Linked DNA regions of Ovis aries. The protein of the gene in region 1 purifies or fractionates together with the protein of each later gene. This does not show direct contact. Links are inferred from orthologs where the notes say so. Each region holds a gene or a part of one and is shown in the gene's direction. Other genes may lie near its edges.

What was found. The genes of interacting proteins can lie anywhere in the genome.
Region 2: the proteins of SGF29 (region 1) and TAF10 purify together in Homo sapiens (affinity purification with mass spectrometry; 3 studies listed by BioGRID and IntAct, with this or other methods). This does not show direct contact. The link is inferred for Ovis aries from reciprocal best matches to the Homo sapiens genes SGF29 and TAF10.

Annotation. Positions count from the first base shown.
Region 1 is NC_056077.1:26,603,578-26,607,325, forward strand, and holds the start of SGF29 (SAGA-associated factor 29), read left to right. Parts: upstream 1-1,315; 5' UTR 1,316-1,494; exon of another isoform or gene 1,495-1,632; intron 1,633-3,642; 5' UTR 3,643-3,748. UniProt on the Homo sapiens protein: Chromatin reader component of some histone acetyltransferase (HAT) SAGA-type complexes like the TFTC-HAT, ATAC or STAGA complexes.
Region 2 is NC_056068.1:46,195,832-46,198,867, forward strand, and holds TAF10 (transcription initiation factor TFIID subunit 10), read left to right. Parts: upstream 1-1,125; 5' UTR 1,126-1,150; coding exon 1,151-1,382; intron 1,383-1,520; coding exon 1,521-1,675; intron 1,676-1,911; coding exon 1,912-1,976; intron 1,977-2,064; coding exon 2,065-2,179; intron 2,180-2,362; coding exon 2,363-2,452; 3' UTR 2,453-2,533; downstream 2,534-3,036. Other genes in the region: ILK (integrin-linked protein kinase), read right to left, coding at 2,764-2,913. UniProt on the Homo sapiens protein: The TFIID basal transcription factor complex plays a major role in the initiation of RNA polymerase II (Pol II)-dependent transcription.

The DNA of each region.
Region 1 (3,748 bases):
GGAGAAGGGGACGACAGAGAATGAGATGGTTCGATGGCGTCACTAACTCCATGGACATGAGTTTGAGCAAGCTCCGGGAGTCGGTGATGGACAGGGAAGCCTGGTGTGCTGCAGTCCGTGGGGCTGCAAAGAGTTGGACACACTGAGCAACTGAACTGAACTGCCCCTTTCACCACTGGGTGCCAGCCCAGGGCTAAATACCCAAGGGGAGACCCTCCCCTCCGTCCCTACCTCCCACTCTCTCACCCCAGGGAAAGCCTGGGTCCAAGGGATTGCTGCCCAAGCATGTCTATAATCCTATTTCTATAGTAAAAACTATTTTAATTATTGAAAAAAAGGGGAGTGAGCAGTGGGGTTGCGTACCAAACTCTCCGTAGAGGTTATATCCTCAACTGGGATTCTGGAGAACTTTTACTTCCAGATGCTAGATCCCGGCAACATTTGACTTTTTCACAGTGTATGAGGAGCCTGGTGGGCAACAGTTCATAGCCTCCCAAAGTTACCTGTTTTAGAAGGAGGGGAGAAAAGGAAAATGTTAAGGGTCAGTTTAATTCATCCCTTTCCTTTACTCAATTCCATGCATACTATGCCACCTTCTGGTCAAGATATGGCTTTTTGTCTGTGTCAAGAAAAATCACCATTAAAAGTGAATACAATGGTTACAGTATCTCCCACCTCCTACCTCCCACCTCCCAAGGTGAAGAGAAAACTTTCTGTTTTGCTCAAATGGGTGAGGAGTGGGTGTGAACAGGGTCAAGCTGAGTGACTGTAGGGTTTTTTACACAGAAAGTGCCTGAAGCCCTCATGTAAAAAAGCCAGGTCTTAAGCAGGAGAAAGCAAAGAGGAGAGACAGATGAGAGCATGGCCTTCAGAAGTATAACTCTGTCAAGGGAGGAATTAGTAAAAGGATTAGTAAAAGGAAAGCACTCTGTGTAACTCTCTCCATGTGCCCTCAAGCGATCTTCAGTGAAGACTGCTGTGACTTTTCAAGGCTCTTTGGGAAAGCATTTCAGATGTGTTAGATGAAGGATAGACAAGGAAGCCCCAGATTCCTTTGCCACATTGTAGCTTTCTCAGAAGGGCTTCCCAGGTAGTTCAGTGGTAAACAATCTGCCTACCAATCCAAGTGCCCGCGGTTCAATCCTTGGGTGGGGAAGATCCCCTGGAGGAGGGCATGGCACACAAAGACCCTGGTTTGGTAAAATACGGTTCGGCCGAAAAGCCGGGAGCAGTGTGTCAAAGTGAAAACTACATTTCCCAAAGGGCAGCGCGGCACGTCACAGAGGATGACGGCGCATGCGTAGAGGGGTCCTCCGCGCTGCGACTAAGCTCATCAGAGGGAAAAAAGCTGTGTGGGTCTCGTCCTGCCGCGAATCTTCGAACGTAAAGGGCGTTGTCATCTGCAGACTCTGAAGAGCATTCGAGGGACCGCGCGCCTGCCCCCGCCGTCGCAGTTTCCAGCGCGACGTGCTTGTTCCACCCGTGGCTCTGTAGGTAGGTATGGATCGCGGTCTGGGACAACCCCCTTCCGCCGCACACCCCCGCCTGCAGGATGGCGGGAGTGGAGGGCCGGTGGTCTCCATGCCCCGGCCTCGCTGAGGCTGCTCTTGAGGGGCGGCGCGCATGCGCCTTGGCGGAGAAAGGCGGGGCGCCGGGAAGGAGGGCTGGTGTATCGTCTGCGCGTGCGCCTGCCTGCCCTGCGCGGGTGGGAAGCCGCCGCATGTGGAGCTTGGCGCAGTGGCCCGGGGAGGCTGGGTACCCAGGCCAGGTGCTAGAAGACAAAGGCAGAGGATGGGCCCCGAACCTTGATAGCATTTGTTATTTGCTCACAATGTGCCCATCTTAACCGAATGACCTCATTCTTCATTCGTATTTCTCTTGGCGCCTTGTTTCTCTGCCCTTGTTTGCAGCCAAAATTTCGGTCTGTACTCACTAGCACTTTTTCTCCTCCGAACCCACTCCAGTCGGGCCTGGGCCCCCACCCTTCCACTGAAATAGCGCCTTGTCAAAGCCACCAGTCATCTCTAGGTCACCAAATTCAGTGTTTAGTTCTCAGACCTGTAGCAGTATTTGATGCAGTTGCAGGAGGAGAAGGGGACGACAGAGGATGAGATGGCTGGATGGCATCACTGACTCGATGGACGTGAATCTGAGTGAACTCTGGGAGTTGGTGATGGACAGGGAGGCCTGGCGTGCTGCGATTCATGGGGTCGCAAAGAGTCGGACACGACTGAGCGGCTGAACTGAACTGAACTGATCTCTTTTTGCTATGGAATGTGCTGAAGTGTGACAAAACTTGGAAGGAAGAGTATAGATTTTATAGTTTGCAGGCTTGCAGTGGCAGCTCAACTACTTGTATTTCCTGAGTTACCTAGCATAACTTCATCCAACTGAACTAAAGCTTCCCCAGCTGTAAAGAAGGTGGGCTTGTAGCATTGATGTAGGCTTAAATGAGAGTCACCTATGTAAGCTTCAGTACCAAAGCCTGGTAGGTATTGGGTTGGGGTGCAGGGTGGGATAGGTGGAAATCATCAGGTCTCCTTAATTTTAAAAAGGAACCGAATTGAGGGACTTCCCTGGTGGTCCAGTGGTTAAGAATCTGCCTTGCAATGCAGAGGACTCAGTGTTTGATCCCTAGTCAGGGAGCTATGAACCCACGTGGCGTGCGGCAGTTAGGCCCAAGCACCACAACTACTGAGCCCATAGCCACAACCAGAGAGTCCATGGGTCCCACATGATGCAACGAAGATGCTGTGTGCTGCAGCTAAATGAATGAATAAATAAATATTTTCTAACAAAACTAATGTAGATTCTTACTGATGTGGCTAAATGGAGGGTATGGGATCTGAATGTAGTCTTGGATGCCTTGCTTCTCTTTGACTTATGACAAAGCTTTTATTGTCCTAAGTCCTATGTGATTATTTTTAGAGTGGTTTAAGTATAGACTATTTTCATTTGTATGAGAGGGTCAGACAGCAGTTTTAGGCTGTATGTATAGCAGTTACTATGTGCTTTTCCTCACAGCCTTGGTCCCTATGAATTACCTCTTTTTTAGTTAAACTTCTTAGTTGCATGTAACAAAAAGGTAGCCCAAACTAGCCTAAGCAGAAAGGGAGTATCTATTGACTCTAACTAGCCTAAGCAGAAAAGGAGTATCTGTTGACTCTAACTAGAGTCCCAGGTGTACCAGCTCCAGGTATGGCTGTATCCAGAAGCCTTGGTTATGTCACCAGTATTTTCTGTGTCTTTTCAGCTCTGCTTTCCTCCATGTTGATTTCTCCCTCAGGCAGGCAAAAATCTCCATCAGTTCCAGGCTTCTATGCTACTCTTTTAGCCAACAGAAAGAGGTCTTTTTTTTTTTTTTTTTTTGTAGATCGCTTTAGCAAGAGATTTGAAATTGATGTTGGCCAGATTTGGGTCACATATGGTGGCTCAGAGGTTAAAGCGTCTGCCTGCAATGTGGGAGACCTGGGTTCGATCCCTGGGTCAGGAAGATTCCCCTGGAGAAGGAAATGGCAACCCACTCCAGTATTCTTGCCTGGAGAATCCCATGGATGGAGGAGCCTGGTGGGCTACAGTCCACAGGGTCGCAAAGAGTCAGACACGACTGAGTGACTTCACTTTCACTTTCATCTCTTCCAGAACCAGTTGTGCTGGACAGGAAGACTAATACTTCCGTGGAGCCAGGTGGTGTACCCAGCCTTGGAGCCAAGATGAAGGATGGTTTCCCAAAGGGAAATTAGAGTAC
Region 2 (3,036 bases), on another chromosome or scaffold:
ATAAACTTAATGGAATGCCTAACACACAGATGTAGGCAGCAACTATTAGTTCCCTTCCTCCCTTGCACTGCACACCCTGTGTCTACCTCCAGTATTTTAACTCCCATATATTGGTGAAATGGCAAGTTTAACTGTTAATGCCTCCCTTTGCAAGACCACTGGTGCCCGGAGGAGTAGAACCTTCTCCTACTTAACTCTGTATTTGCAGACCCTAGCTCAGGACTGACAAAAATAAATTTTTGCTGTGTTGAAAACCCCACTCTTTCACTAGCCGTGATTTTACATAAATTGTTTATTAAGACTGAAAGACAGCCATCCCTCTGTATCCTCGGGTTCTCCATCCACAGATTCACCCAACCGTGAACTGAAGATATATATATTTTTTAATTCCAATTATAAAAGACGAAACTTGAATTTACCATGCACCAGTAAACTATTCACATCGCATTGGATATTATAAGCAATCTAGAGATTATATAGAGTATACAGTGCAAATACTATGCCATTTCATATAACGGACTTGAGCATCCACGGATTTTGGTATACATGGGTTGGGGACGGGAGTCGGGGGAGTCCCGGAACCAATCCTACCAACCCTTCACCACCTATACGGACGGTGGACTGTACCTCTCTCCCCATCTGCAGCAGCACTGTGTCAGCTGTCCGGTTACCTTCACTTTGGGCAGCTGGCGGGGAAAGAGGCTATTCAACTCCACTACAAACCCTTAAAAGGCTGGATAAAGGAACTTAGAAAAGATGCAGACACGCAGGCGACCAACAGTAGAGAGGTGTCGGGGCGATGAGCATCAAAGCAAGAATTTTAGACGTCAGGCTGGGTGAGGGGGCCTCAAGCCCATAGAAGAGAATCCTCGACATTGAGGGGTTCCCATCCCAGCGGATCCACACTGGAGAACCGCGGGTCCGGACGCGAAATGTCCGCGCCAGCCCAGTTCCGCAACACTTGGTCTCCGCCCTCCCGCCTTTGTCAGGTAGCGGCTGGATGGGCGGGGAATAAAGGAAGGAGGCCTAAGGGAGGAGCGAACGTGGCGTGGGAGGAACGAGTCGTGGGGCGCGTGACGTCACCCCTGGTGTGTGCGTAAGGTGAACGGAAGCGGAAGCGGCTCTGTTCGCCGCCTCTCCCACCGGCCCGATGAGCTGCAGCGGCTCCGGCGCGGACCCCGAGGCGGCGCCGGCCTCCGCCGCCTCGGCCCCGGGCCCGGCGCCCGCGGTCTCGGCCCCCGCCGCGCTGCCCGCCGGCACCGCCGCGGAGAACAAGGCCAGCCCCGCGGGGACGTCAGGGGGGCCTGGGGCTGGAGCCGCGGCAGGGGGCACTGGAGCCGTGGCGGCGCGGGCCGGGGAGCCTGCCGAGCGGCGCGGGGCGGGTGAGGGCCGGGACGGGTGAGGGCGAGGGCCGCGCTTTGGGCTGGGCCCAGCGGCGGGTGAGGGCAGAGGGTAAGACACACCTAGCGGAACCCTCGAGCCTCCCACCTCCGTGTCTCAGTTTGCTGGTTTTCCTCCAGCTCCAGTGACGACCGGCGGCGCGGCGCCCCCGGAGGGGGCCATGTCTAACGGGGTTTACGTGCTGCCAAGCGCGGCCAACGGAGAGGTGAAGCCAGTGGTGTCCAGCACGCCTCTAGTGGACTTCCTGATGCAGCTGGAGGATTACACGCCTACGGTGGGCTTCCTGCCTGAACAAGGCTAATGACTCGCTGTCACGCCAACTTCTGCCACACCATCTGGATTTGCAGCATCCTCTTGTGTTTCTCTTCCTAGCTTTTGTGATTTTTCCCTTCTGCCCACCCAAACTGGGAGCTTCCTGATAGCCAGGCCTGCCCTCCATTTCCCTTACCCCGACTCTCAGCCCCGCTGTACACAGGGCTAACGCTTACAGTCGTCTAATTGATTTCTCAGATCCCTGATGCAGTGACTGGTTACTACCTGAACCGTGCTGGCTTTGAGGCCTCCGACCCACGCATGTGAGTAAACTCTGGGCAGGTTAGAGTGTTGGGTGTTTGTGTGGAGTTTATTGTCTATGCTCTTCTCATACCATTTTTTTCTCTCCAGAATTCGGCTCATCTCCCTAGCTGCCCAGAAATTCATCTCAGATATTGCCAACGATGCCCTACAGCACTGCAAAATGAAGGGCACAGCCTCTGGCAGCTCCCGAAGCAAGAGCAAGGTGTGAGGGGAGGCTCATTGATTCAGTAATTACTTCCTACAGCAGCAGAGGCTTAAATTATCCTGAAACCCCTTTGAGGGAAATTAAGCCTTAGGGGAGGTGAAAGACCTACTCAGGGTCACCTGCCTGGGATTGAAATCTGGAATTCCTGTGTTCAGCTGGTGCTCTTCCCTCTTCCCTCAGGACCGCAAGTACACTCTAACCATGGAGGACTTGACCCCTGCCCTCAGCGAGTATGGCATCAATGTGAAGAAGCCGCACTACTTCACCTGAGCCACCCAGTCTAAATGTACTTGTCTGTTCTCTTGTCCCCACACCAGCCTGTTTTCATAATAAACTTTATTGTGACAGGCAGGGCTGATCCCTCCCATGCTGGGAGACACCGTGTGGCAAGTGACAAAGCTTTGAGCCCATTCCCTTTTGGGGCCACAGTGGTAGGGATGGGGGCAGGGGATGGGCCCCATGGCTGGGGTAGTACCATGACTAGTGGCAGGGGAGGCAACCAGAGGCCTACTGCTTTGGGGAGGTGCACTCCCCTAACCGTGTCCTGACACCTCTGGAGTTCAGATAAGGACTTTCCAGCTCTACTTGTCCTGCATCTTCTCCAGGATAGGCACGATCATGTCAAACTTGGGCCGCTTAGCAGGGTCTTCATTCATGCAGATCTTCATGAGTTTACAAACGTGGGGGGAAATGCCTGGTGGGATGGTAGGCCGAAGGCCTTCCAATGCCACCTGCAAACACAAGGAAAAACAAGGTGAGTCTCAGAACTTGAGTCTCATGTCGGGAGAGACGTCTAGCCCTCAGGACAGGATTCTGTGTATTTGAATCAATGTGGCAGGAGCCCAGCCCCACTA